3 linked regions of the Anolis sagrei genome follow. The protein of the gene in region 1 interacts with the protein of each later gene in a pairwise test. Links are inferred from orthologs where the notes say so. Each region holds a gene or a part of one and is shown on either strand. Other genes may lie near its edges. The genes, in order: UBASH3B, FAM168A and DOC2A.

Region 1 (11,057 bases):
ATTGGGTCTGACACAACTCTTGACCCCTTTCTGCTTTACTTTCATCTCTACCATAATAAACACCTGAATAAGGCTTATGAAGACATAAATACAAGGGGTATTCATTAAAGATTTCCCCTAATCCACTTCCTGCGGACTGAGGGTAATGAAACTTAGCACAGCTATGAGTCCTTCTCTCCATGGGTGCCCCCTAGGGACACACACTTCTCCCATCTTTTTAAGCAACTGTAAACACCTTGCTTGTAGAAGCCAACAGTTTGCTCCAAAAGCCATGTTGTGACTTCAGAAATCAGAGTCTCGTCATCTGAAAAATGCTTGCCCTCCAAAAATAACTTCATTGTTGGAAAGAGGTGGAAGTCTGACGATGCAAGGTTGGATGAATAAGGGGGATACAGTAAAATTTCAAAGCCACAGGCACATGCTTCCATTTGAGCAACAAGTGAGTTGTGAACTGTTGCATTGTCTTGCAGAAGTGGACACCATTGTTGAGCATGCCACACTGTCTCTTGGTTTGATGGCCTCCCGTAATTTCCACAGCAGTGAAGCCTAGTCTGCCCTATGATCATGGCAACCTTTGCTAGGAAATCCATCATTAGTACTCCGTTCTGGTCCCACAATACTGTGAGCATGACCTTGCCTGCTGAGAGTTGGGCATGTGCCTTCTTTGGAGGCAGTGAGACATGATGCTTCCATTGCATCAACTGGAAGCATGGACTTTAGTCTCAGGATCATTGTATTGGACCCAGCTTTCATCCTGTGTGAGCAGTCTGTTGAAAATGTCCTCCTGGTTTCCATGGCACATCATCAATAGACCTGAGAGCATTCGTCCCATTCCTGCTTCTGGAAAGGTGTGAGCAGCTGAGGGACCCAGCGAGCGGATACCTTATGCATGTGAAGATTGCCTTGGATGATTTTTTTTTCATGGACTCCACACTAATCTTGACATTTTGGGCTAGGTGGCAAATGGTTACGCGGCGATTTTCCAAAATGGCAACCTCCGCTTGCTGGATGGCATGTTCATCAGTAGCAGAATGGGGTCACCTGGAATTGGAGCTGTTTCCACTGAAGTCCAATCACATTTGAATTGATGATGCCAGTTCTTGACTACTTCTTATGATGGGGAATCATCACCATAAACCTCGTTCATCTCATCGAACGTCCCCTTTGGTGTGCAGCCTTTAAAGTCAAGGAACTTGAGGACTGCTCTGTATTCCACTGGGTTTATTCTCAAACCTCACACCACTTCAGCACCTGCAAAATCAAGACCGTTATCAGTTCTGAGTTGTAAATTGGCACGTAACCTATAGAGACTTATAGCATTACACATGTGCTCTTTCAGCATCCTGTAATGCAGTGGTTGTCAACCTTCCTAATGCCGCGACCCCTCAATAGAGTTCTTCATGTTGTGGTGACCCTCAACCATAACATTATTTTTATTACTGCTTCATTACTGTTATTTTGCTACTGTTATGAAGCATCATGTAAATATCTGCTATTCAGGAAGTATTTTCATTCACTGGATCAAATTTTGCACAAATATCCCCCAAGATGCCCAAATTTGAATATTGGTGGGGTTGGGGAGGTTGATTTAGTTATTTGGGAGCTTTAGTTGTTGGGATTTATAGTTCACCTACAATCAAAGAGCATTTTGAAATCCATCAATGATGGAATTGAACCAAACTTGGCACACAGAACTCCCATGACCATCAGAAAATACTGGGTTTAGTGGGCACTGACTTTGAGTTTTGGAGTTATAGTTCACCTACATCCAGAGAGCACTGTGGACTCAAACAATGGTGGATCTGGACCAAACTTGGCACAAATACTCAATATGCCCAAATGTGAACACTGGTGGAGTTTGGGGAAAATAGACCTTGAAATTTGGGAGTTGTAGTTGCTGGGATTTATAGTTCACCTACAATCAAAAAGCATTTTGAAATCCATCAATGATGGAATTGAACCAAACTTGGCACACAGAACTCCCATGACCAACAGAAAATATTGGGTTTGGTGGGCACTGACCTTGAGTTTTGAAGTTATAGTTTACCTACATCCAGAGAGCACTGTGGACTCAAACAATTTATTTATTTATTATTTATTTATTTATTAGATGCACTTATTGACCGCCATTCTCAGCCCTTACGGGCGACTCATGGCGGTGTACAGTACACATAAAAAGACAGTTACAGAGGCCAGTATCAACAACATATGACTATACAACAATGGTGGATCTGGACCAAACTTGGCATGAATACTCAATATGCCCAATTGTGAACACTGGTGGAGTTTGGGGAAATAGACCTTGAAATTTTGAAGTTGTAGTTGCTGGGATTTATACTTCACCTACACTAAAAGAGCATTCTGACCTCCACCAATAGAATTGGGCCAAACTACCCACACAGAACCCCCATGATCAACAGAAAATACTGTATTTTCTGATGGTCTTTGGAGACCTCTCTGACACCCCCTCGCGACCCCCTCCCCAGGGGTCCCAACCTCCAGGTTGAGAAAGCTGCTGTAATAAATAGAAACGGGCCAGGGGAAATCTTTAATGGATGCCTCCAGCTCTCCCAGTTTGTCCCAGTTAATCCTCTGTCCTCCCACACTTTCACCTACTTTTAAAATGCACCACTATTGTTTATCAGAGGGAATACCTCTGTAGGAATCTCAAGGTTCTCCAGTGAAACTAAAAGTTGGCCATAGAGTTGAACTGGAAGAGATTCCTTAGTTAAAGAGGAATCATAATGCTGTAACTGTGCAGTGTGGAATGGCCACAGACTGGATCCAGGCTCCCTCAAAAGAGAAACCCTTTCAATGATCCAGAGTATAATAGGCTAGTTGAGAAAACAGTGGGCTCTTGTTCTTTGGGGGTTTTAAAAAGAGAGGTTAGGTGGCCACAGCTTGGGGCTGCTTTAGCAATGGATTCTTGCACTACTGGTTGGACTAGATTGCAGTCCTCTCAATCCCGAAGTCCATGCTGTAGGACCTTTTAGTAAACATACATGTGTCCTTTGCTAACAGCAGCCTTGAAGGCATGGAGTTGCAACCAGTGAATGTAATAATTTCAGCTCTGCATCTCTGCATTTGTGATGAATGGAGTGAGGTCTATATACATACATGAACGCAGAAGACTATGACTCTGGAGACCAGAGTTCAAATTCCATGGATCTTGGGCAAGCCTCCACGAAAGGCAAAGTTAACCCACTTCCAAACAAATCTTACCAATAAAACTCCATGGTAGGTTCACCTTAGAGATGTCAACAGCGTGAAGGAATACAACTATCCAATGGCAGCAGATGGAGACACTGGAACAAGAATTATATCAGTTGAATGGATCAAATCTGCTAGGCTTTTTTCATACTACACAATTATGGCATTTTGATACTGCTTTAACTGCATTGCACTGGCTTCATTCAACGGATAACTAGAGTGAGGGACATCATGTATATCTAGGTAAGGTAGTCCCCTGACATTAAGTCCAGTCATGTCTGACTCTGGGGTGTGGTGCTCATCTCCATTTCTAAGCCGAAGAGCCAGCGTTGTCCGTAGACACCTCCAAGGTCATGTGGCCGGCATGACTGCATGGAACGCTGTTACCTTCCCGCCGGAGCGATACCTATTGATCTACTCACATTTGCATGTTTTCGAACTGCTAGGTTGGCAGAAGCTAGGGCTGACAGCGGAAGCTCACGCCGCTCCCCGGAATTGAACCTGCGACCTTTCGATCAACAAGCTCAGCAGCTCAGTGCTTTAACCCACTGCGCCACCGGGGGCTCCTGTATATCTATATAAATAAAAATGTAATGTTTGTTTGTGGGATTAACATAACTCAAAAACCACTGGTCGAATTGCTGCCAAATTTGACCACAAGACACCTACTAACCCTAGGAGTGATCATCACTCAAAAAATTGATTTTGTCATTTGGGAGTTGTAGTTGCTGGGATTTATAGTTCACCTAGAATCAAAGAGCATTCTGAACTCCATCAATGAGTGGATTGGATGAGGAGGGTTGTATTTTGCTGCCAGCTGGGAACACCTTCAGCCAAAGATGAATTATTATTGTTGTTGTTTTTACTATTGTTATTCAGGAGGAGGTAGAGGGTGCCTGACCTGGGTTGGATGAGGTGGGATGTGTTTGTTGCCAGCTGGGAACACCTTCAGCCAAAAATGAATTATTTTTGTTGTTACTGCTATTCAAGAGGAAGGCAGCGGATGCCTGACCTGGGCTGGATGAGGTGGGGTACCTTTTGCTGCCAGCTGGGAACACCTTCAGCCAAAAATGAATTATTTTTGTTGTTACTGTTATTCAAGAGGGGTCAGCGGATGCCTGACCTGGGCTGGATGAGGTGGGGCACCTTTTGCTGCCAGCTGGGAACACCTTCAGCCAAAGATGAATTATTATCATTATTATTGTTGTTGTTGTTAGTATTGTTATTCAGGGGGGAGTGAGAGGTGCCTGACCTGGGTTGGATGAGGAGGGATGTGTTTTGCTGCAAGCTGGGAACACCTTCAGCCAAAGATGAATTATTATTACTACTATTACTATTATTATCCAGGAAGAGGGGGATGGAGGGTGCCTGTATTGGGCTGGATGAGGTGGGGTGCATTTTGCTGCCAGCTGAGAACACCTTCAGCCAAAGAAGATGAACTATTATTATTATTATTATTATTATTATCCAGGAGAGAGTTGGAAAATGCCTGACCTGTGTTGGATGAGGTGGGATGTGTTTTGCTGCCAGCTGAGAACACCTTCAGCTAATGAATTATTATTATTATTATTATTATTATTATTATTATTATTATTATTACTATTACTATCCAGGAAGAGGGGGATGGAGGGTGCCTGGATTGGGCTGGATGCGGTGGGGCACATTTTGCTGCCAGCTGGGAACACCTTCAGCCATAGATTATGAACTATTATTATTATTATTATCATCATCATCATCATCCAGGAGAGAGTTGGAAGATGCCTGACCTGGGTTGGATGAGGTGGGATGTGTTTTGCTGCCAGCTGAGAACACCTTCAGCTAATTATGAATTATTATTATTATTACTATTGCTATTATTATCCAGGAAGAGGAGTATGGAGGATGTCTGGATTGGGCTGAATGAGGTGGGGCACATTTTGCTACCAGCTGGGAACACCTTCAGCCATAGATTATGAACTATTATTATTATTATTATCATCATCATCATCCAGGAGAGAGGTGGAAGATGCCTCACTTGGGTTGGATGAGGTGGGGAACATTTTGCTGCCAGCTGGGAACACCTTCAGCCAGAGATGATGAATTATTATTATTATTATTATTATTATTATTATCCAGGAGAGATGTGGAAGATGCCTGACTTGGGTTAGATGAAGTGGGATGTGTTTTGCTGCCAGCTGAAAACACCTTCAGCTAATGATGAATTATTATTATTATTATTATTATTATTATTACTATTACTATTGCTATTATTATCCAGGAAGAGGGGAATGGAGGGTGCCTGACTTGGGTTGGATGAGGTGGGGTGCATTTTGCTGCCAGCTGGGAACACCTTCAGCCAGAGATGATAAATTATCATCATCATCATCATCATCCAGGAGAGAGTTGGAAGATGCCTGACTTGGGTTGGATGAGGTGGGATGTGTTTTGCTACCAGCTGAGAACATCTTCAGCTAATGATGAATTATTATTATTATTACTATTGCTATTATTATCCAGGAAGAGGGGGATGGAGGGTGCCTGGATTGGGCTGGATGAGGTGGGGTGCATTTAACTGCCAGGTGAGAACACCTTCAGCCAGAGATGATGAACTATTATTATTATTCACACCTAGCTGCAGCAGGGAAGAGCTCTTTGCCCCACCCCAGCCATTCCACAGATATATAAACCCATTGTCCTAATTCCAACAGACCTCACTACCTATGAGGATGCTTGCCATAGATGCAGGCGAAACGTCAGGAGAGAATGCCTCTAGACCATGGCCATATAGCCCGAAAAAACCCACAAGAGCTTATTATTATTATTATTATTATTATCATCATCATCATCATCATCATCCAGGAGAGAGTTGGAAGATGCCTGACCTGGGTTGGATGAGGTGGGATGTGTTTTGCTGCCAGCTGAGAACACCTTCAGCGAATGATGAATTATTATTATTATTACTATTGCTATTATTATCCAGGAAGAGGAGTATGGAGGATGTCTGGATTGGGCTGGATGAGGTGGGGCACATTTTGCTGCCAGCTGGTAACACCTTCAGCCATAGATTATGAACTATTATTATTATTATTATTATTATTATTATCATCATCATCATCATCATCCAGGAGAGAGGTGGAAGATGCCTGACTTGGGTTGGATGAGGTGGGGAACATTTTGCTGCCAGCTGGGAACACCTTCAGCCAGAAATGATGAACTATTTATTATTATTATTATTATTATTATTATTATTATTATTATTATTATTATCCAGGAGAGAGAGAGGTGGAAGATTCCTGACTTTGGTTGGATGGGGTAGGATGTGTTTTGCTACCAGCTGAGAACATCTTCAGCTAATGATGAATTATTATTATTACTATTGCTATTATTATCCAGGAAGAAAGGGATGGAGGGTGCCTGGATTGGGCTGGATGAGGTGGGGCGCATTTTGCTGCCAGTTGGGAACACCTTCAGCCAAAGCCAAGCTTGGAGAGAAAGGAGGGAGGAGAGGAGAAGGCGGAGAAAGCAGGAGGAGGAGGAGGAGAAGGAGGAGGAGTGCCTTTGGCAGCAAGCTGGTCCCCTCCTTCCCCAGGAAGCCGCTTCTTGCATCAGTGCGCCCTCGCTGCCTCCCAGTTGCCTTCCTCCCGCCTCCAGAGAGAGAGACAGAGAGAGAGAGAGAGAAGGGGAATTGCGCCCTTGGAGAAGCAGGGAAAGAGGAGGAAGAGGAGGCGGCGCTCTGAGCCTTGCAATGGGCTCCCTGTCCGGATGATCGTGTGTGGGGCTGTGGAGCCGGACCCACGCCTGGGCCCCTGACCCCAGCTATGGCTGCTGCAGCGGCTGCCACCTCCCGAGCGGACCTCTACAGCCAAGTCACCCCTCGGAGGACCCGCCAGCCCCGGCCGGGCACCATCAAGCACGGCTCCTCGCTGGACATCCTCCTCTCCATGGGCTTCCCCAAAACCAGAGCGTAAGTGGGGCTCAGGCCGAGGGGGACATGCTGACGTGTGCCTCGGGGTCTCTCTCTGTGGGGTGACTTCTCTCTCCCGGTGCCTGCTTTCCAAAAGAGAGGATGCAGAAAGAGGATGCGCTCGCCTCCGCGCCTTCCTTCACCCACGGGCGATGTCTGCCTCCCTCGGGGGTCCGGGTGTGTGTGTCCGTGGGCCTGGGGCTGGGCTAGAGATGCTGTGTTGCGATGGCGGGGAGAGAGAGGCAGCTCTGGATGGAGGAATGTCCCCATCATCCGCCTTGGCACGCAGCGGGAGCGCGCGGCTGGGCTGACGTCTTCCCTGCCATTCATTGGGGGCTCATCCGGGATAGGTTTGGGGTCCAGGAAGTCCAAAAGTAGGGCTGGGTTGTTGCTTTCCCACACAACACAGGGCAACCCTTGCCTCTTGAGTCTGGGCCTCGCCATCCAGAGCCTTGGAGAGGCAAAGATCCTTGGAGAGGCTGTGCGTTGGGCATTTGGAGCTTGTGAGAGGTCTGTGGCCACTTCACCCCAAAGCAGACTGTCCCCAAAGCCTTAGGGCGGATGGGAAGAAGGAAAGTGACACTGAGAGAGAGGGGAGACCCTCTGTGTAAGAATGGGAAGCTTTGAATAGCTGTCCTCCTGCTTCTTGACCAGAGCCAGGCATCCCTTGAAATAAGGATCACTTGGGGTCAAGGCAGGCAGTCCAGCAGCTCCAGAATACATTGTGGAAGGCTTTCATGGCTGGCATCACTTTGTTGTGAGTTTTCTGGGCTGTCTGGCCATTGTGTCTAATTCTGGGCACTACAATTGAAGAGAGATATTGACAAGCTGGAATGTGTCCAGAGGAGGGCGACTAAAATGATCAAGGGTCTGGAGAACAAGCCCTATGAGGAGCAATATATTGTCGTAGGCTTTCATGGCCGGAATCACTGGGTTGTTGTAGGTTTTTTCAGGCTATAGCCCGAAAAAACCTACAACAACCCTATGAGGAACAGCTTAAAAAGGTGCATGTTTAGCCTGAAGAAGAGGAGGCTGAGAGGAGTCATGATGAGGGTCATGTATAAATATGTGAGAGGAAGTCATAGGGCGGGGGGAGCGAATTTGGATGCGGAACAATGGCTTCAAACTACAAGGAAGGAGATTCCATCTGAACATTAGGAAGGACTTCCTGATTGTGAGAACTGTTCAGCAGTGAAACTCTTTGCCCCGGAGTGTGGTAGAGGCTCCTTCTTTGGAAGCTTTTAAACAGAGGCTGGATGGCCATCTGTTGGGGGTGCTTTGAATGCAATTTTCCTGCTTCTTGACAGAATGGGGTTGGACTGGATGGCCCATGAGGTCTCTTCCAACTCTAGGATTCTATGTTCCAGAAGCATTCTCCCCTGATGTTTCACCCATATCTATGGCAGGCACCCTCAGAGGTTGTGAGATCCCAGCAGCTAAGACTTCCTGCTCCATGTCTTTTGCATGGACCAGATCTCCCTTGTGGTCTCTTCCAACCCTAGAGTTGGAAGATACCACATGGGGCATCCGTTCTGAAGTTGCTGTGAGTTTTCCAGGCTATCTGGCTATGTTCCAGAAGCATTCTCTCCTGATGTTTCACCCACATCTATGGCAGGCATCATCAGAGGTTGTGAAATCCCAGCAACAAAGCCTTCTTGCTCCATGTCTTGCATGGACCAGATGGCCCTTGTGGTCTCTTCCAACTCTAGAGTTGGAAGATACCACATGGGGCATCCATTCTAGAACTGCTGTGAGTTTTCTGGGCTCTCTGGCCATGTTCCAGAAGCATTCTCTCTTGATGTTTTGCCCACATTTATGGCAGGCATCCTCAGAGGTTGTGTGGTCTGTTGTCAACTGGGATTGGCAGACTTGAGAGCAGATATTGTCCCAACTTTACTGGGATAATCCTTGGGACTGAGCCGCCAGGGATCTTTGCCATGCAAAACATGTGCTCCGTCAATGACTCCCTCCAAACACAGCCCCAGACCATGGGTGTGGCATGTGTGTACACGCCTTTGCATCACCTATGTCGTTATGGCAACCCCATGAATTTTCATAGAGTTTTCTTAAGCAAGGAATATTGAGAGGTGGCTAAGTCATTACTATTCCTCTGAAATGTAGCATTCATTGACTGTCTCTCATTCAGGTTCTAACTTTGTCTTCCCAACAGTGCCAATGGTATTGCTTATATTATTATTATTATTATTATTATTATTATTATTATTTGATACATAACAAGATTCGTATACAGCAAACAAGATCACTGTGCTGGCTTTTGTATTCGCTCACATGTTGGACACTTTGCAAGTGTTTAGGACTGTGTGATGTATTGGTGAATAATGTGTGCAGATCCAAGTAGGGTGGCCCTTTGCAGCTGACAGATGATAATTTTGTCAGTGCCTATTGTTTTTAAGTGCAGGCCAAGGTTTTTAGGCACTGCACCCAGTGTGCCGATTACCACTGGAACTACCTTGGCTGGCTTGTGCCAGAGTTTTCTTCTTCTCCTTCTTCTCCTTCTTCTTCTTATTGTTTTTAAGTGCAGGCCAAGGTCTTTAGGCACTCCACCCAGTGTGCCAATCACCACTGGGATCACCTTGACTTGCTGGTACCATAGTCGTCGTCGTCGTCTTCTTCTTCTTATTATTATTATTATTATTTGAAACACAACAAGATGAGTCCACAGCAGACAAGATCACTATGCTGGCTGTTGTTTTGGATCACACGTCAGACACTTCCCAAGTGTATAGGACTGTGTGATATATCAGTGAATAATGCGTGACGATTCCAGTAAGGTGGCCTTCTGCAGCTGGCAGGTGGTAATTTTGTCAGCGCCGATTGTGTTTAAGTGCAGGCTAAGGTCTTTAGGCACTGCACCCAGTGTGCCAATCACCACTGGGACCATCTTTACTGGCTTGTGCCAGTTATTATTATGCCAGCCTCTGCCCCGGAGCATGGTGGAGGCTCCTTCTTTGGAAGCTTTTGAACAGAGACTGGATGGCCATCTGTCAGGGGTGATTTGAATACAATATTCCTGCTTCTTGGCAGGGGGTTGGACTGGATGGCCCATGAGGTCTCTTCCAACTCTTTGATTCTATGATTCTGTGATGATGATGACGACGATGATGACGATGATGATGATGATGATGATGATTATTATTATTATTATTATGCCCCTCTTTTTTTCCCCACAAGGAGACTCAAAATAAATCCTCAAAACTGGCTGCACTCCAGTGTCCTAACACCAAAATATGCCAACCTCTGAACTGTTTGCTTCACTTACCTGGGTATCAAAGAAAGCTTCTCCTATTTATTTTCTGTGAGCCAAACAGCTGCTAAGGATGCAGGGGTGCAGAGGTTTTTAAATAAAGAGTAACCTCAGTCGGCTTGGGTTTTTATGTTTGGCATCTGAACTGTCGAATAAAAATATGACTTCATGGAAGTCCTCTGCTTCTATTGCATCTGGCAGCTCAGAGGGGAATTGGTCAGGCTTGGCATTTCCTTTCTATATACCATATGTCATTATCATGTGCCCAATGGGACTCTGTGTTTGTATGTTCAAGTTGCCTGTTGACTTACGATGCCCTGAGGCATTGCATAGGGTCTTCTTAGGCAAGGGTAGTTTTGCTTGTTCCTCCACTGGTGAAATAGCCTCAGGATAAAGACAGCCAACAAATACCAGATGCTGTAGGGTATATTTCAGAGGAAGGAACTTGCAAAACCACTTCTGAGCATTCCTGGCTTAAGAAAACCCTAAAATCCATGGGGTCACAGACAACTCAGAGGCACACCCATCTGGTATTCATTGGGAGGGGGTCTCTCATCCAAGCATTAACCAGGACGGCATCTGATATCGTTAGGGAAGTGTTTCTCAACCTGGGGGTCGGGATCCCTGGGTGGGGGGCTG
Region 2 (10,985 bases), on another chromosome or scaffold:
GATAGATAGATAGATAGATATGATTCACACACAGAGATATAGTATCATAGATTTGAAAGGGACCCTTAAAGAAGGACAATGATATGTTGCATGTTCCAGGGTGGGCAAACCAGACACTCTCCACATCAACACTGACAAAGAAACAGCAAGAAATACTGTTTACCCACAAGCATAAAAAAATTACATATATTAGAAACCAACACTTTCTCATTACTTTATTTCCACTATTATTATTATTATTATTATTATCATCATCATCATCATCTAAGATCACAGACCCCCCAACATACAGACAGCCAGCCCTCTTGATACATTATTATTATCATTATTATTATTATTATTATTACACAACTCTCCTGACCCACCTCATAGACCCCCAACACTCATACTCCTCCTGACCCTCCTCTCCGACTTCCTAAAACACACATACACAACTCTCTTCAGCCCCCTCTTGTCTATGACCCCCAACACACATAGACAATTCTCTTCACTCACCTGAGACCCCCAACACACACCACACACACAATCCTTCTGACACCCCATAGAGACCCCAATATGCACATGACCCCTAACCCTCCCCTCACAGATTCCCCAACATACAGACAGCCCTCCTGACTCCCTATTATTATTATTATTATCATCATCATCATCTAAGATCACAGGCCCCCCAACATACAGACCGACAGTCCTCTTGACACATTATTATTATTATTATTATTATTATTATTATTATTATCTAACATCACAGACCCCTAACATATACACAGACTGCCCTCCTGACATGCCATTGTTGTTGTTGTTATCTAACATCACAGACCCCCAACATACACACAGACATAAACGCCATCATCATCATTATCTAACAATAACATAACACAATAAACAAGATAAATCCATATTCATATGAAAACAGTCATTGATATAAAAGTTAAAATACAAATACAATAACATTACATTAAAAAGATAAACATTTACCACTACCACCCCAAATACACAGGTTCCTCCTTATAGACACACAGAAATACAAACTCACAATCCCTTTCACGCTCCAGGCTCATGTCTACGAATCCCCCAACATACACAAACACATATATAGAGACAGAGATATAGATCTATATAGATACATCTATATAGATAGGGACAGTTTATGGATAGTTAGACTGAGATAAGTAGAGAGAGATTATACTAGATTAGATTGGGGATTGTAGAGATATGGATACAGATAGAGATAGATAAATATATAGATCGATAGATTTAGATATAGATATATAGGTATAGATATAGATATATATTGACAGATGGATAACGACAGCGATAGACAGATATAGACAGATGGATATAGCTAGACAGACATAGATATAGAGAAAGAGGGAGAAATATAGATAGATATAGACAGATGAATAGAGACAGCGATAGTGATAGACAGATACAGATATAGATATATAGAGACAGAGATAGATATAGATATCTATCAACAGAAAGAGATATACAGATAGATATATAGAGATAGACAAAGAGATATAGGTAAAGGTAACTGTTTCTCCTGACATTAAATGTAGTAGTGTCCAACTCTGGGGGGTGTTGCTCATCTCCATTTCTAATCCGGTGTTGTCCATAGACACCTCCAAGCTCATGTGGCCAGCATGACTGCAAGGAGCGCCCTTACCTTCCTGCTGAAACAGTACCTATTGATCTACCCACATTTTGAACTGCTAGGTTGGCAGAAGCTGGGGCTAACAGCAGGAGCTCACCTCACTCCCCAGATTCAAACCGCCAATCTTTCGCTCAGAAGTTCAGCAACTCAGCAGTTTAACCTGCTGCACAACCAGAGAACCCGATAGATAGATAGATAGATAGATAGAGATAAATACAGATAGAGAAGGGGTCCTCAAACTTTTTAAACGGAGGGCCAGGTCAAAGTCCCTCAAACTGTTGGAGGGCCAGATTATAATTTGGAAAAAAAAACATGAATGAATTCTTATGCACACTGCACATATCTTGTTTGTAGTGCAGAAAACACTTTAAAACAATACAATAATTAAAATGAAGAATAATTTTAACAAATATAAACTTATTAGTATTTCAATGGGATCCTTGAAGTGACTGGATTGACCTTGAAGGAGCTGGGGGTGGTGACGGCCGACAGGGAGCTCTAGCATGGGCTGGTCCATGAGGTCACAAAGAGTCAGAAACGACTGAACCAATGAACAACAACATACAGTGTCTATGTGTGGGCCTGCTTTTGGCTGATGAGATGGGATTGTTGTTGTTGTTGATGATGATGATGATGATGTTGTTGTGTGCTTTCAAGTTGTTTCAGACTTAGGTTGACCCTGAGTGAGGGCCGGGTAAATGACCTTGGAGGGCCATATTCGGCCCTTGGGCCTTAGTTTGAGGACCCCTGAGATAGAGATAGAGAGAAGGAGACAGAGAGTGAGATGGAGAGATAGAGAAAGAGTGATAAAGAGAGATGGAGAGATAGAGAGATAAAGATAGGTATAGATATAGATAGAGAGAAACAGACAGAGAGAGAGAGAGAGAGATGGAGAGATAGAGACAGAGATAGAGACAGAGAGAGAGAGAGATTTATATAGAGAGGGACAGATGGAGAGATAGAGAAATAGAGATAGAAATTGGTAGATATAGACAGACAGATAGAAATTGATAGAGAGATAGATATAGATATAGATAGAGAGATACAGACAGAGACAGAAATAGATAGATAGCTATAGAGAAAGAGAGAGATGGAGAAATAGAGATAGAAATAGTGATAAAGAGAGAGATGGAGGGATAGGGAGATAAAGATAGGTATAGATATAGATAGAGAGAAATAGACAGAGAGATAGATATGGAGAGATAGAAAGAGATAGAGAAATACAGATAGAGATTGGTAGATATAGTAGATAGATAGATAGATAGATAGAGATATATATTATGATTTATTTACTTATTAGCAGTATTTATATACCACATTTCTCACCCCTGGGGGGACTCAAAGCGGTTTACACATAAATAATGGCAAGATAGGTATAGATACTAGAGATAGGTACAGATATAGGTAGATAGAAAGAGATAGATAGATAGATAGATAGATAGGGATGGATAGAGAGAGATAGGTATAGATAGAAATAGATAGATAGATAGATAGATAGATAGATAGATAAATAGAGACAGATAGAGAGAGAGATAGGTACAGATATAGGTAGATAGTAATAGATAGACAGACATATAGATAGATAGATAGATAGATAGATAGATAGATAGATAGAGACAGAGAGATAGAGATAGGTACAGATATAGGGAGATAGAGATAGAGAGAGAGAGAGAGATAGATAGAGACAGATAGATAGAGATAGGTACAGATATAGGTAGATAGAAATAGATAGAGATAGATAGATAGAGACAGATAGAGCGATAGAGATAGGTATAGATATAGGTAGATAGAAACAGATAGAGAGAGAGAGATAGAGACAGATAGAGGGGGGGGAGGGAGAGAGACAGATGAGGAGATAGAAAGAAAGAGACAGGTATAGATAGATAGATAGAAAGATAGATAGATAGATAGATAGATAGATAGATAGATAGAGAGATGGAGAGATAGAGATAGGTATAGATATAGAGAGAAATAGAAAGATGGATAGATAGATATAGAGATAGAGAGGTGGAGCGATAGAGACAGATAGAGATAGATAGACAGACAGATAGATATATAGAGTGACAGATGGAGAGATAGAGATTGGTAGATATAGATAGATAGAGAGATAAAGATAGGTATAGATATAGATAGAGAGAAATAGACAGAGATAGACAGATAGATAGAGATATAGAGATAGAGAAGAGGAGAGATAGAGACAGAGATAGACAGACAAATATAGAGAGAGTGACAGATGGAGAGATAGATAGATAGAGAAATAGAGATAGAGATTGGTAGATATATATAGAGAGAGATAGGTATAGAGATAGATAGATAGATAGATAGATAGGGACAGACAGAGAGATAGAGAGAGGGAGAGAGACATATGGGGAGATAGAGATAGATAGATAAATAGATATAGATAGATAGATAGATAGATAGATAGATAGATAGTATTTATTTATTTATTTACTTATTGTGTCAGTATCAACCAAACAATTGAATTACATTTTTAACAAATTTTTAACAAACAGACAAAACAGTGTTTGCAAGCTTGGTAGATAGATAGAATGACAGATAGATAGATAGATAGATAGATAGATACAAAGATAGATAGATAGATACAAAGATAGATAGATAGATACAAAGATAGATAGATACAAAGATAGATAGATAGATACGAAGATAGATAGATAGATAGATAGATAGAAATAGGGAGAGGGAGGGAGAGAGGAAGAGACAGATGGGGAGACAGAGTTAGATAAATAGATATAGATAGATATAGATAGATAGATAGATAGATAGATAGAGATAGATAGATAAAATGTATTTATTTATCGTGTCAGTATTAACCAGGCAATTGTATTACATTTTAAACAAATTTTTAACAAACAGACAAAACAGAGTTTTCAAGCTTGGTAGATAGATAGAATGATAGAGAGAGAGAGAGAGATACAAAGATAGACAGATACAAAGATAGATAGATAGATACAAAGATAGATAGATAGATACAAAGATAGATAGATAGATAGATAGATAGACAGACAGACAGACAGATAGATAGATGATAGATAGAGATTATAGATAGATCAGATAGATAGATAGATAGATAGAGATGATAGATAGATAGATAGAGATAGAACGAACGAAAGAAAGAAACAAAGATAGATAGATAGAACGAAAGAAAGAAACAAAGATAGATAGATACAAAGATAGATAGATAGATAGATAGGTGATAGAGAGAGAGAGAGATTATAGATAGATAGATAGATAGAGATGATAGAGAGAGATGATAGAGAGAGAGAGAGATAGAACGAAAGAAAGAAACAAAGATAGATAGATACAAAGATAGATAGATAGATAGATAGATAGATAGATGATAGAGAGAGAGAGAGAGATTATAGATAGATAGATAGATAGAGATGATAGAGAGAGATGATAGAGAGAGAGATGATAGATAGAACGAAAGAAAGAAAGAAAGAAAGATAGATAGAGACAGACAGATGGAGAAATAAAGATAGAGATAGAGATATAGATAGATAGATATAGATAGACAGATGGAGAGCTAAAGAGAAAGACAGATAGACATATATCCTCTCCCTCACAGACCCCCCAAGATACACACGGCCCTCTTGGCCCTTCACAAAACCCCTTCCTTTCCAGGCCCCTCATCACTCACCCCAAATACACACACACTCACACTCACAATCCCCCTTGAAACACACGCACAGCACAGCCAGGCAGGCCTGCCCTTTTCCTCCCCTCAGGGAGACCCCCACCTCCGGGCTGGGAGCAGGCCCCTTCCTTCCTCCCTCCCTTCCCTCCTCACCTTCCTTCCTTCCTTCCTTCCTTCTTGGGCTCCTTCCTCCCTCGAGAGCCGGCGCCGAGCGGGGAGAACCGGGGGAAGCGGGCAGGCCGAAAGCTGGAGGAGCTTTGTGAGGAAGAAGGAGAAGGAGGAGGAGGGCTGCTGCTCCCGACGCCGATCCCGACACTCGCCACCAGGGGCGGGCAAGGGCGGACTCGGATAGAAGCCGCTGAGGGAAGGACTTCGTCTCCCAGTATGCCCCGCGGCTCTGATTGCACTTCAGTAAGCGCAGAAAGGAGCGCAATGCATCTTGGGAGACGTAGTCGCACTCTTGTATCCGTCTCTTCAGTTCATCCTCGCCAAGACAGAAGCAGCGACTGGACTTCAGCTCCCAGTATGCCCCGCGGCTCCGATTGCACTTCAGTAAGCGCAGAAAGGAGCGCAATGCATCCTGGGAGACGTAGTCACACTCTTGAATCCGTCTCTTCAAGTCATCCTCGCCAGGGCGAACTGTTCAGTCAGAAAGAGCGACAGGACTTCAACTCCCAGTATGCCCCGCGGCTCTGATTGCACTTCAGTAAGGGCAGAAAAGAGCGCAATGCATCTTGGGAGACGTAGTCACACACTTCTATTCGCCTCTTCAAGTCATTCAATGAATCCTAGAATCGAAGAGTTGGAAGAGACCTCATGGGCCATCCAGTCCAACCCCATTCTGCCAAGAAGCAGGAATGTTGCATTCAAATCACCCCTGACAGATGGCCATCCAGCCTCTGTTTAAAAGCTTCCAAAGAAGGAGCCTCCACCACACTCCGGGGCAGAGAGTTCCACTGCTGAACGGCTCTCACAGTTAGGAAGTTAAAACAGAAGTAGAGACTGGACTTCGGCTCCCAGTATGTCCCGCGGCTCTAGATGCGCTTCAGTAAGCAGAGAAAGGAGCGCAATGCATCTTGGGAGACGTAGTCGCACTCTTGTATCCGTCTCTTCAGTTCATCCTGGTCAAGATAGAAGCAGCGACTTGACTTCAGCTCCCAGTATGCCCCGCGGCTCTGGAGGCGCTTCAGTAAGTGCAGAAAGGAGCGCAATGCATCCTGGGAGACGTAGTCGCACTTTTGTATCCGCCTCTTCAAGTCATTCTCCTCAGGGCGAACTGTTAAGACAGAAGTAGAGACTGGACTTCGGCTCCCAGTATGCCCCGCGGCTCTGGAGGCGCTTCAGTAAGTGCAGAAAGGAGCGCAATGTATCCTGGGAGACGTAGTCGCACTCTTGTATCCGCCTCTTCAAGTCATTCTCCTCAGGGCGAACTGTTAAGACAGAAGTAGAGACTGGACTTCGGCTCCCAGTATGCCCCGCGGCTCTGGAGGCGCTTCAGTAAGTGCAGAAAGGAGCGCAATGCATCCTGGGAGACGTAGTCGCACTCTTGTATCCGCCTCTTCAAGTCATTCTCCTCAGGGCGAACTGTTAAGACAGAAGTAGAGACTGGACTTCGGCTCCCAGTATGCCCCGCGGCTCTGGAGGCGCTTCAGTAAGTGCAGAAAGGAGCGCAATGCATCCTGGGAGACGTAGTCGCACTCTTGTATCCGCCTCTTCAAGTCATTCTCCTCAGGGCGAACTGTTAAGACAGAAGTAGAGACTGGACTTCGGCTCCCAGTATGCCCCGCGGCTCTGGAGGCGCTTCAGTAAGTGCAGAAAGGAGCGCAATGCATCCTGGGAGACGTAGTCGCACTCTTGTATCCGCCTCTTCAAGTCATTCTCCTCAGGGCGAACTGTTAAGACAGAAGTAGAGACTGGACTTCGGCTCCCAGTATGCCCCGCGGCTCTGGAGGCGCTTCAGTAAGTGCAGAAAGGAGCGCAATGCATCCTGGGAGACGTAGTCGCACTCTTGTATCCGCCTCTTCAAGTCATTCTCAGGGCGAACTGTTAAGACAGAAGTAGAGACTGGACTTCGGCTCCCAGTATGCCCCGCGGCTCCGATTGCACTTCAGTAAGCGCAGAAAGGAGCGCAATGCATCTTGGGAGACGTAGTCACACACTTCTATTCGCCTCTTCAAGTCATTCATAGAATCATAGAATCAAAGAGTTGGAAGAGACCTCTGCCAAGAAGCAGGAATGTTGCATTCCAATCACCCCTGACAGATGGCCATCCAGCCTCTGCTTAAAAGCTTCCAAAGAAGGAGCCTCCACCACACTCTGGGGCAGAGAGTTCCACTGCTGAACGGCTCTCGCTGTCAGGAAGTTCTCCTCAGGGCGAACTGTTAAGAGAGAAGTAGAGATTGAACTTCGGCTCCCAGTATGCCCCGCGGCTCAGATTGCACTTCAGTAAGCGCAGAAAGGAGCGCAATGCATCCTGGGAGACGTAGTAGTACTCTTGTATTCGCCTCTTCAAGTCATTCATAGAATCAAAGAGTTAGAAAAGACCTCCTGGGCCATCCAGTCCAACCCCATTCTGCCAAGAAGCAGGAATATTGCATTCAAATCACCCCCGACAGATGGCCATCCAGCCTCTGTTTAAAAGCCTCCAAAGAAGGAGCTTCCACCACACTCCGGGGCAGAGAGTTCCACTGCTGAACGGCTCTCACAGTCAGGAAGTTCTTCCTCATGTTCAAATCCGTTGTATCTCTTCAGTTCATCCTCGCCAAGATAGAAGCAGCGACTGGACTTCAGCTCCCAGTATGTCCCGCGGCTCGGGATGCGCTTCAGTAAGCGCTGAAAGCAGCGCAATGCATCTTGGGAGACGTAGTCACACACTTCTATACGTCAAGGCGAAGCAGCGACTTGGACTTCGGCTCCCAGTATGCGCCGCGGCTCTGGATGCGCTTCAGTAAGCGCAGAAAGGAGCGCAATGCATCCTGGGAGACGTAGTCGCACTCTTGTATCTGTCTCTTCAGTTCATCCTCGCCAAGACTGAAGCAGCGACAGGACTTCGGCTCCCAGTATGCCCCGCGGCTCTGATTGCACTTCAGTAAGCGCAGAAAGGAGCGCAATGCATCTTGGGGGACGTAGTCGCACTCTTTCCTTCATCCTTCGCCAGGGCGAACCAGTAATTGGACTTCACCTCCCAGTATGCTCCGCGGCTCTGGATGCGCTTCAAGTTAGCGCTGAAAGGAGCGCAATGCATCTTGGGGGACGTAGTCACTGATCTGGATGGAGAACGGAGAAGGGTTGAGCGGAGCAAGGTGCATGCTGGGAGATGTAGTAGGCAAAGCATTCTAGGATTTTAAAGAAAGAGAGATGGGGACACCTTCAGGATTTCAGTGTTGCTGTTGTATTGTTATTACTGTTGTGTTAATAATAATAATAATAATAATACAGCCAGGGGATGTTGAATTACTTTATAATTATTATTGGTATTATTGTTTCATTAATAATAATAATACAGCCAGGAGATGTTGAATTAATTTATTGTTATTATTATTGGTATTATTGTTGCATTAATAATAATAATACAACCAGGAGATGTTGAATTAATGTATTATTATTCGTAGTAGTATTGTTGCATTAATAATAATAATAATAAAACAGCCAGGAGATGTTGAATTAATTTATTGTTATTATTATTATTATTGGTATTATTGTTGAATTAATAATAATAATAATAATAATAATAATACAGCCAGGGTAGGTTGAATTAATTTATTATTATTATTGGCATTATTGTTTCATTAATAATAATAATAATAATAATAATACAGCCAGAGGATGTTGAATTAATTTATTATTATTATTTGTATTATTGTTTCATTAATAATAATAATACAGCTGGGGGATGCTGAATTAATTTATTATTATTATTATTGGCATTATTGTTGCAATAATAATAATAATAATAATAATACAGCCAGGGGATGTTGAATTAATTTATTATTATTATTATTTGTATTATTGTTGCATTAATAATGATAATAATACAGCCAGGGGATGCTGAATTTTTATTATTATTATTATTATTATTATTATTATTGCATTAATAATAAAATAATAATAATACAGCCAGGGGATGTTGAATTAATTATTATTATTGGTGTTATTGTTTCATTAATAATAATAATACAGCTGGGGGATGCTGAATTAATTTATTATTATTATTATTGGCATTATTGTTGCATTAATAATAATAATAATAATAATAATACAGCCAGGGGATGTTGAATTAATTTATTATTGGTATTGTTGTTGCATTGTTAATAATAATACAGCCAGGGGATGTTGAATTAGTTGTTATTGTTATTGGTATTCTTATTAATAATATATACACAAACTCAATGCGGAGGAATTCCATAAAGAGACAGGAAGGGAGTCTTTTCCTCCAGGTAGTAATTCCTCATGCCTCCTCTAGGGAGCAGCAGAGAGCAACAACAAAAAGAGTCAAATCAATGTATTGTCAAAGGCTTTCATGGCTGGAATCACTTGGATGTTGTAGGTTTTTCGGGGTTTATGGCCATGTTCCAGAAGTATTCTCTCCTCACTCCTCCTCCTCCCCTTCTCTGTGTACACACTTGCTGGGAAAAGAGCAAATTTGCTAAATAAATACAAATCAAGAAAGTGAGAGAAGAATTAAAGGTGGTTTAGAGAAAATACAGTAACCACTTCCTGACATGAAACACCCCCTTGATACTATCATAGTGCTTTGCCCTTTCCATAACCATCTATAGAAGAACAAGAGCTGAGAAAAGTTGGTGGAGTTCAGAATGGTCTTTGATCAACTCCCAAATGTCAAGGTCTATTTTCCTCAAACTCCACCAGTGTATTGGGTGTATTGAGTATTTGTGCCAAGCTTGGTCCAGATCCATCATTGTTTGAGTCCACAGTGCTCTCTGGATGTAGGTGAACTACAACTCCAGAACTCAAGGTCAATGCCCACCAAACCCTTCCAGTATTTTCTGTTGGTTGTGGGAGTTCTGTGTGCCAAGATAGGTTCAATTCTATCACTGGTAGAGTTCAGAATTGTCTTTGATTGTAGGTGAACTATAAATCCCAGCAACAACAACTCCCAAATGTCAAGGTCTGTTTCCCCCAAACTCCACCAGTGTTCACGTTTGAATGTCTTGAGTATTTATGCTAAGTTTGGTCCAGATCCATAATTGTTGGAGTCCACAGTGCTCTCTGGAGGTAGGTGAACTACAACTCCAGAACTCAAGGTCAATGCCTACCAAACCTTTCCAGTATTTACTGTGTGTCGTGGGAGTTCTGTGTGCCAAGTTTGGTTCAATTCTATCATTGGTGGAGTTCTGAATGCTCTTTGGTTGTAGGTGATCTATAGATCCCAGTAACTACAACTCCCAAATGTCAAGGTCTATTTCCCCCAAACTCCACCAGTGTTCACGTTTGAATGTATTGAGTATTTAGGAGAAGTTTGGTCCAGATCCATCAGTATTTGAGTCCACAGTGCTCTCTGGAGGTAGGTGAACTACAACTCCAGAACTCAAGGTCAGTGCCCACCAAACCCTTCCAGTATTTTCTGTTGGTTGTGGGAGTTCTGTGTGCCAAGTTTAGTTCAATTCTATCATTGGTGGAGTTCAGAATGCTCTTTGATTGTAGGTGAACTATAAA
Region 3 (11,385 bases), on another chromosome or scaffold:
AGTTAGTATGGTGTTGCAACAAGTAAAAGTCATCAACAAAGTGAAACTAGCAACATAATGTTGTCATATCCCACCTCTAGTGGAAGTGCTTCATTTCCAAGTTCAGTTTCAATCCTTTCCCTGGATACTCCATTCCGTAAACAAACCCTAAGACAGTGTTTCTCAACCTGGGGGTCGGAACCCCTTGGAGGGTCATAGGGGGTTTCAGTGGGGTCACCAAGACCATCAGAAAACACATAGTTCTGATGGTCTTAGGAATCCCTTTGTCATAGTTGTTTGGATTCACTGTGCTCTCTGGATGTACATGAACTACATCTCCCTTAAATCCCTGTCAATTCATCCCAAACCCCTCCAATATTTTCTGTTAGTCTCTGTGTGCCAAGTTTGGTTCAATTCCATTGTTGGTGGAGTTCAGAATGCTCTTTAATTGATGGTGAATTATAAATCCCAGAAACTACAACTCCCAAATGTTAAGGTCTATTTTCCCTAAACCCCACCAGTGTTCATATTTGAGCATATGGAATATCCATGCCAAGTTTGGTCCAGATCCATCATTGTTTGAGTCCACAGTGCTCTCTGGATGTTGATGAGCTACAACTCCAAAACTCAAGGTCAGTGCCCACCAAACCCTTCCAGCATTTTCTGTTGGTCATGGGAGTTCTGTCTGCCAAGATTGGTTCAGTTCCATTGTTGGTGGAGTTTAAAATGCTCTTTGATTGTAGGTGAACTATAAATCCCAGCAACTGCAACTCCCAAATGACAAAATCAATCTTCCCCAACCCCAATAGTATTCAAATTTGTGCATATTGGGTATTTGTGCCAAATTTGGTCCAGTGAATGAAGATACATCCTGCATATCAGATATTTACATTACGATTAATAACAGTAGCAACATTACAGTTGTGAAGTAGCAATGACAATAATTGTATGGTTGGGGGTTACCACAACATGAGGAACTGTATTAAGGGGCCGTGGCATTAGGAAGGTTGAGAACCACGGTCCTAGTGGAAGTGCTCTATTTCCAAGTCCAGTTTCAGTCCTTTTCCTGGATACTCCATTCCATACACAAACCCTAAGACTTAAACCGGCATTCAACAATCCACTGAGCTCGCTGAATCCCACTGAGTGGTTCCAAAAGATTTCCGGACCTGGACGTTCCCTGCCTCACACTGATACGTCCCTATTCTGTCTTAGTAACTCCATTTCGGCTCTATTTCTATCAGCACTTGCTGCTGGAGTCCATTCTTGGAGGGATTATAGATCTAAGTGCCCTAAATGGTTTAATCTCCTTTTAAAGATATCTAAGCCCATGACTGCTGTCTCTATCTTCAAGTCGCTGAATTCAATCCATTAATGGCATGTAGAGTTCAGATACTTTTTGCTGTCTGGAATCTCATACACATCAGTTTTAAAGATCTGGGAGGAAGCAGCTGGGCATCAGATCTCTCCGCACTTCCTCCACATTGTGCACAACCTGTTGTCATATTCCCCACTCTGTCATCTTTCCCCTCCACCCCAAAAGAAAAATCCCCTAAATGCATTTTGATTTCCTCATACAGAAAGGATTGTTTGGTTACTGTGTCCTGCGCAGCCATGCGTACTATTTTTGTTCATAGACGTGAACCTTCCCTTCGCATGCCACAGGTGTTCACAGGTGACCAGTTTTGGACTGCTTCAGTATTTGTCATAGTGAGGAGACTTTCTGCTGTTCTCAGATTGAATAGTGTCAATTAGTGGTGGGATTGCTCTTCCATCAGTGTACGTCTAATCACATCTGCAGAAACGATATGTGGAATTTGGCTTCCTGCTGCCCACTGTTTTAAAAATGTGTCCTATTCCATGAATTTGCCACAAGCTAAAAGTTGTGCCATTATGAGAAAAATAAATAATGCAAGGTCCTTTCTCCATAAAACATAAAGGTAAATAATAATAATAATAATAATAATAATAATAATAATAACTTTATTTGTACCTTGCTACCATCTCCCCAAGGGACTCGGTGCGCCTTACATGAGGCCAAGCCCACAATACATCAATAAAAAAACATCAAATAAAACAATCAATACAATACAAATCATATAAATCACATAAACAAAAACAAGCAATAAACAGTGACATACAAGGTTTCCCCTTGACATTAAGTCTAGTCGTGTCCAACTCTGGAGAGTGGTGCTCATCTCCATTTCTTAGCCAAAGAGCCGGCATTATCCATAGACACCTCCAAAGTCATATGGTTGGCATGACTGCATGGAGTGATGTTACCTTCCGCCGAAGCAGTGTCTATTGATGTCACATTTGCATGTTTTTGAACTGCTGGGTTGGCAGAAGCTGGGGCTAACAACAGGAGCTCACCCCACTCCCCAGACTCAAATTGTCAATTTTTCAGTCAGCAAGTTCAGCAGTTTAACCCACTGCACCACTGGGGGGGGGGCATGTAGTAATCTAACCCCAAAATACACTGGCTGTCTCTATGGGTGCATCTGTACACATGCAGTTTGACACCACTTTAACACCACTAAAATCGGAACTATTTTGAACTGTCTGCACTCATTGGAGTTTACTTCTTGAGTAAAATGTGTACACAGTTGTACTTCAATTGAGTTAAATTAAACAACCACAACACAACACGTTTGAAATTAACAGTCAACGCAGCATTTGTTAAAACATCCGCAAATCAATGCAATCTGGCAAAAACCCAAACAGTAAAATTCCCAACTCTAGTAGATATATAGGCAGAACAAGCGGCATGCATTTTCTGTGCTGTTCTCCCTCCCTCCCTCTCTCCCTCTTGTTTCCTTCCTTTTCTGCTTGCTGGGGGTGCAGAGAGACAATTACAACTCAATAAGGAAATTCATTGCTGGGAGCTGAAAAGCCTTTTGATACAACAGTTTATCTGGACATCAGCATTCATGAGACACTTATTTTTAATTGATTACCATGGAATATTAACCACTATTAAAAGAACGACTTTGCTCAATTGAGTCCCACCACATCCGCCCCTCTCCCCGAATGAGATTGAGAGCGAATGGCAATTTGACTTTTGAAAGGATATTGCTTCAATCAATCAATTTTTGATCAATCCATCCCTTCCGACTATTGCTGTTTTCTATTCCTTGCCCCGCAATGAACTTAGATGTATGGATGCATGTTGCAGATCTCCTCTAACTCCCTGGCACCTGTTTCTTCTCCATGCCAACTTCTCCCCCAGGATATCCAAATATACAAAACACATCACATCGCCTCCTTCTCTGATACTTTGGGTGGATCAACCAAATGTGCCCCATACATGAAGAAGCACACCTTTACCTACTATCGCCCCACCTTTACGCCTATTAGCCTCACTCTGTTACTTATTATCGTCACATATCCCCACAACTACACCCAAAAACCCACCATTCTCATCCAACTTTGGGTGCATCGACCAAATCTGCCCCATATATGAAGAAGCACACCTTTACCTACTGTCACCCCACCTTTACTCCTATTAGCCCCACTTTGTGACTTACTAGCCCCACATATCCCCACAACTACATCCAAAAGCCCACCATTCCCACCTCATTTTGGATGGATCAACCAAATCTGCCCCATATATGAAGAAGCACACCTTTACCTACTGTCACCCTATCTTTACTCCGATTAGCTCCACTCTGTTACTTATTATCCCCACATATCCCCACAACTGCACCCAAAAACCCACCATTTCCATCTCACTTTGGGTGCATTGACCAAATCTGCCCCAAAGCTCCATATTTGAAGAAGCATGCCTTTACCTACTGTCACCCCACCTTTACTCCTATTCGCCCCACTCTGTGATTTATTAGCCCCACACATCCCCACAACTACATCCAAAAACCCACCATTCCCATTCCACTTCGGGTGGATCAACCAAATCTGCCCCACATATGAAGAGGCACACTTTTATCTATTGTCACCCCATCTTTACTCCTATTAGCCCCTCTCTGTGACTTATTAGCCCCACACATCCTCACAACTACATCAAAAAACCCACCATTCCCATCCCACTTTGGGTAGATCAACCAAATCTGCCCCATATATATGAAAAAGCACACCTTTACCTACTGTCTTCCCACCTTTACTCCTATTAGCCCCACTCTGTGACTTATTAGCCCCACACATCCCCACGACGACATCCAAAAACCCATTATTCCCATCCCACTTTGGGTAGATCAACCAAATCTGCCCCATACATGAAGAAGCACACCTTTACCTACTGTCACCCTCCCTTTACTCCTATTAGCCCCACTCTGTGACTTATTAGCCCCACACATCCCCACAACTATATCCAAAAAACCTACCATTCGCATCCTCCCCAAGCAATCTCTCCCAAATTGCCACAATACTCTGAAACACCTTAAGCCCACAGACATATAGGACGAAACCTCTGAAACAACTCTTCCAAGTCCCCCTCTTTTGCAAAGAAACTCTGATCCTTTCCTCTTTCCCCTCCAGACAACTTGTTTCCCCCCAAACTCTCCATAGAAATCCCTGTCTCCACAAAGTGCTGACTCCACCTTCCCTCCTCATCCCCCCTTGGGACCCCCAACTCCTACCTGGGTGCTGGTCGTGTCAACAGGTAACAGCAGGGAGGGGTAAGGTGCAACAGCGAATGACAGAGACTGTGGATTGGGGGGATCCCAAAGACTTCGAGAGATAGAGCAGGCGAGAAGGAGGGAGGGAGGGAAGGAGGGATGGGAGGAAAAAAGAGAGAAAGAGAGAGAAAGAGGGAGGGAGAAAGAGAGAGTGCCAGAGAAGAAGGGGGTTGCAGGCAGGGAGGTGGAGACAATAGAGAAGAGAAAGGGGGGTGCTGGTGGTGGAGGGTGCTGAGATCTGATTTGCAATACATAGATTAGATTAGACCACAGCTGATAAAGGATGGCTCTGTACAACTGTGACATCGATCCTGGAAGTGTACATTTGTGGCACAGTTCCTATGCGATGCGCCTGTTTGTGATGCCCATTTGAGCTGTAGAGAAGGAGGGGGGAAAAGCTGATGATCCCAACTGATAATCAAGGCTGTGGGTAGATTTAAAACAATATAAAGGGGACTGAACAGGAATCTTGATCTGCAATGTTAGATTAAATATATGTAGCAAAAGGCTGGGTCAAACAGCACAAGCTCTTTCTTTCAATGGACCCAAGGGAAGGATGAGAGAGGACCAGATTATGCATTTTGACTGATCCTGCCTTATCCCTTGGGCTTCGGGTGGGTGGCGATTTTTTTGCATGCAAAAGTGGGAAGGGAGAGGGAAGAGAGAAAGAAACTGCATTAAGATGCAGTCCGAAATAGCCACAAATGGAATGAATTGCACAGAAGAGAAAGATCGGATGCGGATTAGATTGGAGTCTCTCTCTTCCTGTAGATGGATGGATGGATGAACAGGAAAAAGAAAACTGCAGTTGCTTGAAAGCTGGGTGAAAAGGTATAAGGAGTGAACCCTTGAGACTGTATAGGAAAAAGTAAAGGAGGCTGACTGTATTTGTAGAAATGGTGATGGCAGGGAAAATGTCTAGAGGTGGACACAGAAGCAGGACGGTAATGCAGATGATGGAAAAAATAAGTCTGAGAAATCATTTACTCTTTTTATAGGAAAAGGTTATTTGACGGGACTCAACTTTGCTCAGAAACATCATTTTCTCTGAGTTGCTGTGAGTTTTCTGCACTTTATGGTCATGTTCCAGAAGCATTCTCTCCTGACATTTCACCCACATCTATGGCAGGAATCCTCAGAGGTTGTGAGGTCTGTCGGAAACAAGGCAAGTGGGGTTTATATATCTGTGCAGGCATGTAGCCGGGGGGGGGGGGGGCTTTGGGGGCTTCAGCCCCCCCTCCGAAATTCCCATGGTGGTCTGCGAAAAGGCCTTACTGGTACATTATTTAAACTGTTATGTTTATTCATATCATGCTCTGATCACCATGCTCAGTATATCTCATATGCATGGGGGTATTGGGGTAACAAAAGGTTTGCTAGGGTAGACCCTCTTTCACTCAGACTCAGCCCCCCCCCCCGAATCAAACTCAGCCCCCCCACCCCCCGAATCAAAATCCTGGCTACGGGCCTGTATCTGTGAATAATGTCCAGGGTGGGAGAAAGAACTCTTCTCTGTTTTAGGCAAGTGTGAATGTTGCAATTGGCATTAAATGGCCCTGCAACTTCAAAGCAGACTACAGAAAAAAGCAATTGAAATCCACAAGTATGTGGACAATTTGAACAGAAAGGAGAAAACCATGAAATGAACAAAATCTGGCTATCTGGTAAATACAAGCAGTAAATACAAGCAACACTCAAAAAGCAGGGGCATTCCAGAGAAGAATCAATCAGGGCTAGATAACACCTCCCAACAAAGGATCCTCCAGGCAGCAGCCAGCCAGGCTTTGAAACTGCAAGGCCATTAGAGGTTGTGAGGTCTGTTAGAAACTAGGCAAGTGAGGTTTATATATCTGTGGAATGTCCAGGGTGGGAGAAAAAACCCCTCTTATCTGCTTGAGGCAAGTGTGATTGTTGCAATTGGCCACCTTAGTATTTAATGGCCTTGTAGCTTCAAAGCCTGGCTGGTTGCTGCCTGGGGAGAACCTTTGTTGGGAGGTGTCAGCTGGCCCTGATTGTTTCCTGTCTGGAATTCCCCTGTTTTCTGAGTGTTGCTCTTTATTTACTGTCCTGATTTTAAAGTATTTTAATACTGTTAGCCAGATTTTTTTTTTCATTTTCATGGTTTCCTCCATTCTGTTGGAATTGTCCACATCCTTGTGGATTTCAGTGGTTTCTCTGTTTAGTCTGCTTTGAAGCTTCAAGGCTATTAAATGCTAATCAAGGTGGCAAATGAATAATAATAAATAATCTATATAAATAAAAATGTAATGTTCATTTGCGGGATTAACATAACTCAAAAACCACTGGATGAATTGACACCAAATTTGGACACAACCTACTTATCAGGCCAACGCGTGACCAGCATTCATAAAAACACTGAAAAACACAGCAGAAGAGACTTTAAAAGTCAAAAAAACAAAATTTAAATTACAACACATGTGCAAAACCACACAACCTATATTTATAGATGTATATAAACACACATATACACAAATATACACACACAAAACACATATACACAGCAACGCATGGCAGGGGATGGCTAGTATAATAATAAAACTTTACTTGTATTCTGCCCTATCTCCCCGAGGGGACTCAGGGCGAATTCCATCATAACAGCAGTAAACATTCAATTGCAACATTCACACTTGTCTCCAACAGACAAGAGTTCTTTCTCCCACCCTGGACATTCCACAGAAATATAAACCCCACTTGCCTAGTTTCCAACAGGCCTCACAACCTCCGAGGATGCCTGCCATAGATGTGGGTGAAACATCAGGAGAGGATGCTCCTGGAACATGGCCCGGAAAACTCACAGCAACCCAGTGATTCCAGCCATGAAAGCCTTTGACAACACATCATTTGCTCTTCTGGAAGGCTTTTCAACATGCAAAAAGGCGAAGCGTCTGAACTAAATCAGGAGGGATTTCACACATTGCAGGGTTTGAATCATAGTAAAATTAATGCAGTTTAACACCACTTTAAATGCCATGACTCAGTGCTCTGAAATTCCGAGTTTGGTGAGGCAATAGCACTGTTGGGCAGAGAAGGCTAAAGACCTTGTAAAATTACAACTCTCGTGATTTCATAGCATTGAGCCATGGTAGCTAAAGTACTGTCAAACTGCATTAATTTCACAGTGTAAACACACACCAAGGGAAATTAACGGAGCCCCATCCATAAGGAAGTTATCGAAGGCAATATATGATTTTAAGCACGGAGATACTGCTTTGACTAAGAAGTCCTATAATCCTAACTCAATGCGCCTCCAGCCTTTGGGGTCTCCCAAGGCCAGAAGATCTGAACTTCCCTTTTCTTGAGATTCAAGCCCAGTCTCCAAAAACAGACAACATGTTTGAAGTTGCCTGGCAAAATATTATCCCTTGAGTTTGGGGCTTGAAGTTTTTTTCTTCCCCTTCTTCCATGCGCTTCCCCATCTCCCTCCCCACTGTTACTATGGCAACTTTGTCCTGGACCTATTCCAGACCAGGAAATATTTGTGATGCCGCATATGCTGTTGAATGACATTTTCGGCGTTAGTCAAATAGATAAACCTGGGTTTGGATCAGGCAAGGCGAGCCGGAGCCAAGAAATCTGAAGTTTCTTGGCAAGTGGGGCTGACTGATACACTCAGTGGTTTGTACTTGCTTTCTGAGCAGGAGTTGGCTTTAATCTTGCTACGAACCTAAGGATGCACCTACACTGTAGAGTAGTTGCAGTTTAATACCACTTTATCTGTGATGGCTCAATGTGATGGAATCCTGAGAGTTGTAGTTTTATAAGGTCTTGTCTGCTGGTGGGTGCTGGTGCTTCACTGAACTATAATTCCCATCAAGCCATGGCAATTATGGTGTCAAACTTAATTTGGTATGGATCAGGCAAGGGCAAACTTTGGCCCTCCAGGTGTTTTGGACTCCAACTCTCACCATTCCTAACAGCCTCAGGCCCCTTCCTTTTCCCCCTCAGCCGCTTAAGCGGCTGAGGGGGAAAAGGAAAGGGCCTGAGGCTGTTAGGAATGGTGGGAGTTGGAGTCCAAAACACCTGGAGGGCCTAAGCTTGCCCATGCCTGGTGTAGATGCACCCCAAGATCTTCATCCCTTGAGAATCCAGCCTCAGCAAGGAGCAGAGGAGAAGGGAGGCAACATCTTGTCCTTCCCAAGTGAGGCAAAAGCAAACTGCTGCATCCTATTCTGGTTTGTGTGCTTCTTCATTGCTAACTTTAGCCCAGTGGTTCTCAATCTTTCTAATGCCATTACCCCTTAATACAGTTCCTCATGTTGTGGTGGCCTCCAACCATAACATTATTTTCATTGCTACTTTATAACTGTAATTTTACTACTGTTACAAATCATAATGTAAATATCTGATATGCAGGATGGATTTTCAATCACTAGACCAAATTTGGCACAAATACCCAATATGCCCAAATTTGAATACTGTTGGGTTGAGGAAGGATTGATTTTGTCATTTGGGAGTCATAGTTGCTGGGATTTATAGTTAAACTACAATCAAAGAGCATTCTGAACTCCACCAACGTGGAATTGAACCAAAGTTGGCACACAGAACTCCCATGACCTACAGAAAAAAAACTGGAAGGGTTTGGTGGGCATTGACCTTGAGTTTGGGAGTTGTAGTTCACCTACATCCATAGAACACTGTATACTCAAACAACGGTGGATCTGAACCATCATTGGCACAGATACTCAATATGCCCAAATGTGGAGTTTGGGGAAAATAGACCTTGGCATTTGGAAGTTGTAGTTGCTGGGATTTATAGTTCACCTAAAATCAAAGAGTATTCTGAACCCCACCAATGATAGAATTGGGCCAAACTTCCCACACAGAACCCCCATGACCAACAAAAGATACTGTGTTTCCTGATAGTCTTTTGCAACCCCTCTGACACCCTCTTGTGACCCCCCCCCCAGGGGTCCTGACCCCCAAGTTAAGAAAAGTTGTATTTAGCCATTTTGACCACACCATGATCTTGCTTGGTTGCATATGTCTCTCTGTTAAATGGTGGAGCATATGGGAGAAGGCTTCCTTGCTTCTTTAGACAATAGAACTGGTGGAAGAGAAACATGAATACTGTTAAGACTACAGCTTCCAGCATGCTGCAAGTCACTTCTGATATGGAATGAGAGACTCCCTCCTGGGCACACAGAAGACTTGGGCAACATGGTAGGTGCTGAATAGACTGGGCTCTGGCACCACGAGATGCAGAGCCAACCTTAAGAAAGGGGGCCACAAATTGTGGTCCACGATATGCGAGTGTGGAGGAGAGCAAACCACAGACCCCTTACTACAATGCAGCCTGAGCCCTGCATTGGAGGAATTCCTTATAGCAACACCAGAGACACTATAAGCGGCCAGCTACATGGGGAGCAGACCTAAAATTAATAAGAACACCAGTCCTGGCCTTGTCTTACTCAACTGCCGAGTATGCCTGCCCTGTTTGGCACAAGTCTGCCCCATGCGAAGCAGGTGAACATAGCATTGAATGAAACATGCAGAATAATCACAGGATGTCTTAAACCTACACCTGTTGATAAACTCTACAAGCTAGCAGATATTGCCCCCAGATGTGCGATGGGAAATTGCTGCTAACTGTGAGAAAAATAAGGTCAAACCCTGTGAAAGCCATCCACTGCATGGCTATCAACCTCCTTCCAATAGACTCAAATCAAGGGAAAGCGTCATGAGAACCAACACTCCTCTTAACATTCCCCCAGCAACAGCAAGAGTATCCCTCTGGGCAGCCAAACCAGGAAGTCCCAACTGGATGGCCCCCCACAAGGGTCTTCCTTCGGGGGCAAACAAAAAATGGGCAACTTGGAAGTTCCTGAACAGACTCAGAAGTGGAGTGGGCAAAAAAAAAAAAAAAAGACAACATGGCAAAACGGCACTAAAAGAATCCTCCACCTTGTGCAATTGTGGAGCAGAACAGATGACTCTGCATCTATATGCTTGTCTGCAAAGTCCTGCCTCATGTACAGAGGAAGAATTGTTGGAGGCTACCGACAATGCAGTTGCTGTTGCCCATTTTAGGTCAAAAGATATTTCACCACTTGTGCTCCTTCTATTTTTAAAATCAGTTTAATACTAATTTAGGCAATGCTTTTGATATGAAATAAATAAAATATAGTATAATGCCAAGTTTTTAACTTTGTGTTTTTAAATACATTACAATTGTACCCTCAATTTGCTTCTGACACAATAAATAAATAAGCTTCCACCAAGACAAACCAAAGGTGGCTGGGAATTCCAATCCAGCAACATCTCTAGGGCTGTATGATTCCTATCCCTATGTTATGAACTATCAGCATGACATTGTTTTTTAGTAAAGCACTCGCACCACCTCATTTTTCTTTACATTACTGCACTAATTTTTATTATATTTCCCACTCCAATTTGTTTTTAGTTCTTGTTAGCTCTTTTATGTGCCTTCTTTCTTTCTTTCTTTCTTTCTTTCTCGGTGCAAAGGCAGAACAAGATGCAATAACAATAAATAATAAATGCATTAATACAAGATTGGAAAAGTTCATTTTTGTGGGGGATTCTAGAAGTTGGAGACCAAGAAAAAGTTTTCCCCAGCTCCTGTTTAAGAGGATGTTGGGCATTCATCTTTCTGAAACATGAGAAATTAATAATAAGGAGGAAAATGAAAACAGCTCCCCTTTTCTCATCATCGTATAGCAAGCCAAATAGAACAACAGACCAGACTAAAACACGGAATCAGAATTCCTGCTGAGGAAGGTGTTTGCTTCCTAGATCT

Evidence for each region.
Region 2: the proteins of UBASH3B (region 1) and FAM168A interact in binary tests that used the Homo sapiens proteins (3 or more experiments, as listed by UniProt). The two-hybrid records come from large-scale screens. The link is inferred for Anolis sagrei from reciprocal best matches to the Homo sapiens genes UBASH3B and FAM168A.
Region 3: the proteins of UBASH3B (region 1) and DOC2A interact in binary tests that used the Homo sapiens proteins (3 or more experiments, as listed by UniProt). The link is inferred for Anolis sagrei from reciprocal best matches to the Homo sapiens genes UBASH3B and DOC2A.

The regions. Positions count from the first base shown.
Region 1 is NC_090027.1:35,712,221-35,723,277, reverse strand, and holds the start of UBASH3B (ubiquitin-associated and SH3 domain-containing protein B), read left to right. Parts: upstream 1-6,733; 5' UTR 6,734-7,007; coding exon 7,008-7,153; intron 7,154-11,057. UniProt on the Homo sapiens protein: Interferes with CBL-mediated down-regulation and degradation of receptor-type tyrosine kinases. Promotes accumulation of activated target receptors, such as T-cell receptors and EGFR, on the cell surface.
Region 2 is NC_090023.1:5,980,680-5,991,664, reverse strand, and holds the start of FAM168A (protein FAM168A), read right to left. Parts: upstream 5,619-10,985; 5' UTR 5,463-5,618; intron 1-5,462.
Region 3 is NC_090026.1:16,953,184-16,964,568, reverse strand, and holds the start of DOC2A (double C2-like domain-containing protein alpha), read right to left. Parts: upstream 5,023-11,385; 5' UTR 4,917-5,022; coding exon 4,572-4,916; intron 1-4,571. UniProt on the Homo sapiens protein: Calcium sensor which most probably regulates fusion of vesicles with membranes. Binds calcium and phospholipids. May be involved in calcium dependent neurotransmitter release through the interaction with UNC13A.